2 linked regions of the Mus musculus genome follow. The protein of the gene in region 1 interacts with the protein of each later gene in a biochemical or structural test. Links are inferred from orthologs where the notes say so. Each region holds a gene or a part of one and is shown on either strand. Other genes may lie near its edges.

Evidence for each region.
Region 2: the proteins of Cops7a (region 1) and Cops4 form a complex in vitro, tested with the Homo sapiens proteins (2 studies listed by BioGRID). The link is inferred for Mus musculus from reciprocal best matches to the Homo sapiens genes COPS7A and COPS4.

What each region holds. Positions count from the first base shown.
Region 1 is NC_000072.6:124,958,604-124,962,518, forward strand, and holds the end of Cops7a (COP9 signalosome complex subunit 7a), read right to left. Parts: intron 3,844-3,915; coding exon 3,755-3,843; intron 2,758-3,754; coding exon 2,555-2,757; intron 1,594-2,554; coding exon 1,488-1,593; intron 1,348-1,487; coding exon 1,196-1,347; intron 1,035-1,195; coding exon 995-1,034; 3' UTR 213-994; downstream 1-212.
Region 2 is NC_000071.6:100,545,109-100,548,420, forward strand, and holds the end of Cops4 (COP9 signalosome complex subunit 4), read left to right. Parts: intron 1-2,195; coding exon 2,196-2,329; 3' UTR 2,330-2,694; downstream 2,695-3,312. UniProt on the Homo sapiens protein: Component of the COP9 signalosome complex (CSN), a complex involved in various cellular and developmental processes.

The sequences.
Region 1 (3,915 bases):
GGACATGGCGGTGTTCAGCAGGTGCCCGTGACTGCTGACCATGGGCTGAGGGATGGAGCAATCTGTCCAGGGTCTAGGCCTCCTAGCTGCTAGGCCCAGAGTCTGCAAAGTGTCTGGTTCTTTTCACTTGGCACTTGGCTTTACAGTGGACTGGGGATTAATCTTCTCCCTGTTAACAAACATCAAAGACAGAAGAGGCCCAGTTCCTGGCATTTTTGTACATAGATTTCTCATAGATTTATTTCTGTGTCATGTGTCAATATATATAGACCTATTCATATATATTTTTTATTTTTAATATACAATCTATATTTCCTTCCCCACCAGAACCACAGGAGGAGATATAAATCCTTCCAGGATTTCCATTGGGCTTCCTAAGATGATGAGCAACAAAGAACCATTTCTTAACATCTCAAAAATAGCTGTTCTCAGGCTCTGGGGTCACTGAAGCAGCAGTATCCCCAGGCCCAAGGAGATGAGAGAGGAAAGAAACAATTGTAGTGTGATGGGGTTCTGGGAGGAAAATGTCCAGCGACTCCCAGGGTAGCAGACTGGCTCCAGAACTCTAAGGCTGGAATGAAGGTGGAGACCCCCTTCCCCATGGCTTTTCAGATGCAGCCCACTAGGCAAGGGGAGGAGGAGGAACTGCAGATTAGGCATGCAGGGGTAGGTGTGGGTGGTTAAGAGCCAGCACCCTCCATAGGACTGCCAACCTGCTCAATGACAGGGGTAATGGGCAGACACAGTGCGGAAAAACGATGAGAGCAAGCGTGCTGGGGAAGAGCATGGAACACATAAGAGGTACCAACAGAACATGACCTGCACTGGCCTCCTCCCTACAGAGGGTGTGGCTTATGCTTGGGGGTGGAGGAGATGAAAAGTAATGAACTAGCATTATCAGCTGGCCAGGGGCACAGGAAGGCTCTGAGGACTCCTAAGGGGTAGGCAGGTAGGCAGCTGGGACCCCACATTCCCAGGGAAGAAACAAGTCCTTTCAGTTCGACTTGGACCAAATCTTGGCGCTCCCTCGGAGTCTGGCAAGGGGAAGAGAGAGAGAGGGGATGCAAGGGGTCCCCTAATTCCTAGAGGACACCCCCACTCCCGACCCCATGCAAATGACTAAAGCAGTGGAGCAGCCAGGTCCCTGAGGTAAAAGTGGGGTACCCAGAGACAAGTGGCTCCCGCATGGGCTCACCCCTTGCCCTTGGAGGCTTTCTTGCTGGGCTGGCGCTGGTTGGTGCCAGAAGCTGGTTCTCTCAGCTCTGTCAGGTGTTGCTCAGGATCCTGGGAGGTGGCTGCAGCAGCAGCTGCTGTCGTAACTTTAATGGTTTTCTTAAGGTTGGCAACCTATCAGGATGAAAGGAATGAGGGATAGCCAAAGGAGGTTCTGGAACCGGACGGGCCCTGATGATTTTATCAGTCGGCCTCAGCCCCATCGCAGCCCGAGTACCCAGGCTGGGGAGCTGCAGTCCATCCTGTCTGCTCACCTCACTTTCGATCTGCTGCTTCAGGCCCAGCTGCTGCTCCTTGTGCTGGTTGGCACGGCTGACCTGCTCTTCGATGCCCGACAACACAACCTCACAGCCCACGCACCTGTGGGAAGCAGGCAGATGAGAAGTCAGCAGGAGGCGGCAGTCATCACAGCCTCATAAAAACAAAGCAAACAAAAGCAAAAGTCTCAAAAGCTGGCCTCTAGGCTGGACTGAAAACCCTCGCCTGAGCTGGCAGCTCTCGCCAGGGCACCTGGGAACTAGCTACAACAGAATTCTTTTTTGTTTTGTTTTTGAGACAGGGTTTCTCTGTGTAGTCCTGGCTGGCCTGGAACTCACTCTGTAGACCAGGCTGGCCTCGAACTCAGAAATCCGCCTGCCTCTGGCTCCCAAGTGCTGGGACTAAAGGCGTGAACCACCACGCCCGGCTACAACAGGATTCTTTCTCCTCAGCAAACCCCAGGGCAGGAGAAGAAAGGGATAAGCAAGTGTCCTGGACAAGGTGGGTGGGGGTGGAGTGCTCGGAGAAATGGCTCAGGGGTGGAAGCTGCACTCACACTCACCTATAACCCCTCTACCTCTCTATCACACACACATAACTAAAAAGAAATCAAAATAACAAGATGAGAGCAGGAACCAGAAAACAAAACGGGAGAGTCAGGCATGGTGGGTACAGCAGCACACACCTGTAAGCTTAGAACCAGGAAGCAGAGGCAAGATTTCCAATTCAAGGCCAGCTTGGGGTACACAGTGAGATCACAATGAAGTTACACAGGGATACAAAGAAGAGAAGAGACCCATCGCGGCCCCTGGTGTTATTATGTGCAGTTGCCCTAAACTCAGCGTATGACAGTGACAAGCCTCCAGCTAGTCAAGAGCACAGCTCCATTCCTTTGCCCAGTTCCTGCCCAACAACCCTGACTCTGCGCCCAGGGCCCCCTTAGAGCCTCTGTCCCCTCAGAAACCCTGAGGAGAAAGCACTCTCCTAGGCTCCCCCTCCCCAGCCAGTCCCTGCTCTCCTGCTTGTATAAGGGAGGGTCAAGGCCTGACAAGTAAGTTCTCACCACTCTTGCAGGGTCTGGGCGATGGCACTGAGGTCCTGGCGCTGGATGTCCCGCCCGATGCTGTAATCAACCTCTAGCCGCTGATTGCGCTGGTCCAGAGAGCCACGAAGGACATCAGCATACACAGCCTCGATCACAAGGTCTTCCAGCTGGCGCACGTTTCGAAGGGCAAGGGCCTCCAGCAACACTGCATATGGGATACACTGGGTCCAGAGGTTAGACCGGAATTTGTGGGGTTCAAAAGCAGAGGAGGATTTCCCAGAATCCTCTTCCAGTTTTTCCCCAATGTCCAGGCCCACATCCCTCCACTCCTATCCGTAAGCCATTTTCTGGAAAATGTTGGTTCTAAAGCAAAACCCTATTACGGCCTCAAAAACATCACCAGAAAAGAATAATCTTCCTTCCTTTTCTTTCATGGCGTTCTGACACAGGGTCTCATTCTATAGCCCAGGCTGGCTTGGAACTCATTATGTAGTCCAGGCTAGACTTGACCTCACATTAATCCTTTTGCTTCAGAGTCCCAAGCGCTGGGCCGACATGAGACACGGCACCAGACTCAAAAAGGACAATCCAAAAACATGTGGTAGATGCTCTCCTATGCCCACCTCCCACTATATAGTGAAAGAACGAGTGTGACATCTTCCTGGTGCCATTTCTTTGGCTGTAGCTAAGGAAACTGTTTTTGATCAGCTTGACATCAGAGGATAGATAGGAGGGGTCTGGAGTTTCTGTTTATCATGTTGACTTAGCCATGTTACAAACTGGAATGACCTTGGGGAAGAATCTACAACCACAAGCCTAATTCCAGCAAAAATCACCAGGACTCAATTCTAGTTAACAACTGGGAGAATGTGATATAAAAAGTCTGTGCCCACAGGGGCACACAGGTACTGTAGGTCACACACATCTTACTATAGTAAGTAGAGAAGGACCCCAGTTCTAGCTCTGAGGCTCTGTTGGCCTGGAACTCCATCTGATGAATGAGCCGGCCAGCCTTCTAGTGGCTATTTTTACCCCAATCACAAAAGACGATGACTTAGAACTTCAGTTCAAACTGACAGACTCCTAACTAAGTGACTGCAGAAATGGAGTTTCAGTTCAGACCCAGACAGGGGAGGCCAATGGCTCTCCTTAGACTCCCTGGATTCACAACAGGTCGTCTCTGGCTTTGGACTGGCAGCTGGCAAGGCTGTCACTTACCTTGACTTTGGCAGCCAGAGTGACAACTGACAGATGTCGAAGCTTATTCTTCTGTGCGTCAGTCAGTGGGGGGAGATTCCTGGCTTCAGCTAGAGACAGGGAGAGAAGCCCGGGAATCTTGTTTTTAGCAGTTTCCTACAAGTTTTCTGTACCAATTATGG
Region 2 (3,312 bases), on another chromosome or scaffold:
GATCAGATTTATGAAGCCCTAAATGTGAGGTATAGGTATTATTATTATTTATTATCTTCTATCTGCCCTTTCCCGTGCTCCAAGGGTCCCTTCCTGAGCCCCGCTCTTCACACACTCGCCAAAAGGAGCTGTGTTAGAAGCCCGAAGGAAACACTGTTTTAGCTTTTTAAAATTCTGCTGACTTCTTTCCATTGGTCCTAAACACGCACAGGTCTTCCAAGTAGGCCAGATGCCTTTTATCTTTCAGGCCTTTTCTTTTCTTCTGAAGTGGAGTCTCTGCCACCCAGCCGCCCAGACTGGCCCCTGATGTGGAGCTTCCCCCATCTTTGCTTCCTGAGTGCAGAGCTCACAGGGGTGAACTGGCAAGCCTGCTTTAGACTTTATCTTGGTTTTAATAAAGCCAATATTGCTGGTCCCTTTTCCTTGTGCACGCGGTACCACACCATGGCCATCCTGATGCTGTCGACTCTGCCGCCCTGTCCTGCCCCTGCCGCCTTTCCTGCACTCGCAGCTGTTCTTCACGTCATCTTTATGGACTCTGTGATGCCCTTAGATTTAACATCAGCTACTTACGGCTTAATCCCAGGCCTTTCCCACTACAGGCATTGAGTCTCCACGGGTGATTTCTACCCCTTGATTCAGTTAGTATGTTTGGAAGTGGCTGGATTTGCTTGTACCAGTCTCTTCTCTTTCTCAAACCTGTAGCTCTAGTTCACACCTAAGGCGTCTATATTAGATTGCTTAATAGGGATTTAGGACAAACACAGGTCCAAAACTTTCTAGTTAGCCATTTAAAAGTTACATGTTAACTTTTTCCTTAATTTCTTATGTTTAACTCCTGTATCTTTCATGTCCTATAAATTACAACTCCTAATGTTCTTAGGAATCCATGTACTTTTCTTATTTTTAAAAATTCAAATGTATGTGTGCGTGTGGGTGAGCACATACCTTGGAGCATGTGTGGAGGTCAGAGAACACTTTGCAGTCATCATTCCTCTTTCTACTCTGAGGATTGGGGTCATTCTCACATGGCCAGGCTTCACCCTCAGAGCCACCTGCGGCCTGGCCCCTTCTCTTCGTTTGTATTCCCTGTGACTTACAGAATGCTGCTGTCACAGCCTGTGATGTTTTCCACTTGTCTACACTTGCTTCCTAACCTACTTTCTCCAGTATAGCCAGAGTCACTGTGGTCTTAAAGAAATGAAAACAGGGCAGAGGGAAGAGAAAGAAGTTCAATTAAAGGGAGGAGGGGACTGGATGGCTCCAAATTCTTGCAGTGGAGTCAGGTTCAGTTCTCAGTACCATCTGCAGCTCCAGGTCTAGGTTACCTCCTTTTCTGGCCTCTGTAGGCACCAGGCAAGATCATGGTGTACACACACACACACACACACACACACACACACACACACACTGAGGCGAAACACTCCTATACATAAAATAAAATGTGGGGTTTCCTTTTTTTTTTTTTTTTTTTTGAGTCTTCTTAAATGAAGAGGTGGTGCACACCTTTAATACCTTAATCTCAGCTCTTGGGAGGCAGAGGCAGCAGCAGCAGATCTCTGTGAGTTTGAGGCCAGCCTGGTCTACACAGTGCGTTACAGGACAGGCTATACAGAAAACCTTGCCCTTAAAAAAAAAAGTACTCAAGATAGTGTTTCAAGTAGATTTTACATTGTCTTTTTCTGCTGTAAATGTTAAATTATTTTTTGGTGAGGTAGACATATTCTCATGTGTAGATCCAGCGTTCTCCTAGTAGATGGCAGTATCGCCCCAGCAAACACTGAGAGCCTGACCCTGGAGTGAGGCTGCTTTGTGGTCATCTTGTCTTGATAGGTCTTCAGTCGTTGATTTTGTTTTCAAGGGCATTAGTAATAACATTTTCATTATGTTCCATTTTATGTTTGGTGTTAGTGATTTGCGTTCTTTCTTTGAGACAGTGTCATTGTGTGGCCCTCTTGGATGACTTGGAACTCACTGTGTAGACCAGGCTAGCCACAAACTCACAGAGATCCTGCCTACTTCTGTCTTTTGAGTGCAGAGATGGAAACTCTGCCATACCATGCTTGGCCTGAGCTGAGTTCTTGCCAAGAGTCCCAGAATAAACATCTTTTAAAAGTTAACACTGTTGTAATTTATCTTTTAGCCTCGATTTGTGAGTAATTTCTATCTTCCCTATTATTTTATTCTTTCCTTAGCACGAGAAGCCCTGCCAACATGGGACAAGCAGATCCAGTCACTTTGTTTCCAAGTAAACAACCTCCTGGAGAAAATTAGTCAGACGGCCCCGGAGTGGACAGCACAAGCCATGGAAGCGCAGATGGCCCAGTGAGCCCTCAGCGCTGTGCGCACTGCATCTTTGCCACTTCGTGCAGATTGATTCACTGCCCCTCAAAGCATTTGCATCATGACCTTAGACATCTCAGCCTCCTTTGCTGGATCCCACTTGAAGAAGATGCTAGAGCAAGAAGTGCATCGTTTAAACATAATAGCTCCCGTGAGATCTGGGTCTGTGTATTGAACTAACTCAGACGCTTTGAAAACTTGTTCTTTAAGTGGAAGTGAAAGACCTGAAGTTTGGGATTTGTGATCACTTTGTAGTCATGTAAAACTTAAGTGCTTTGTGCCTCTCCACATGTGGTTACTCTAATAAACGGAGCGGTGAGCCAAATAAAGGCAGTACTTGGTTTTTAATTAGTGAGGTGTTCTATTCCTTTTCTTTGAATTTAGAAAAGTTAATTTCTGTATCTTATGCTACAAATACAAGACTAAGTTGGAGCTTTCTGAGCCCCAGAGCTAAGGGCATAAGGTGACGCTGGGGCTTGCACAGCCAGAGAGGCTCATCACTTAGCAGGAGACCAACAAGGACGCTTTCACAGGTGCCAATTCCAATGTGACCAGTAGAGAGTGTGCAGAAAAGACTTTAAAAAGGGTATAGATGACTTCTTAGCCCCAGCAATTACAGAGCTTTAAAGAGACCCACCCACTTAAAACATGAGGTTGAAAGTCAGTGTCTTGCTTAGATCCTTCAGAAAGATGAAGTCACAAGATGAACGGCCCCCACATCTGGACAGTGGGCAGAATGCAGGGTTGTAGTTCATCAGCTAGGAGGTGGTGATGCTGCTGGAATCAGCACTTGCTTAGCAACTACAACAGAACTGACCTTCCTGCTGACCAAGAAAGCTGGGCATATCCTATTCTGTCAAATGTTTCTCTGGTTCATTACTTTGCCACTCAGTTTACACGTGGGTGCTTTCTTCTACAAACTAACTTTACCTTTGGAATTTAATGTTTGTACTAAGGGTTTGTCTGTGT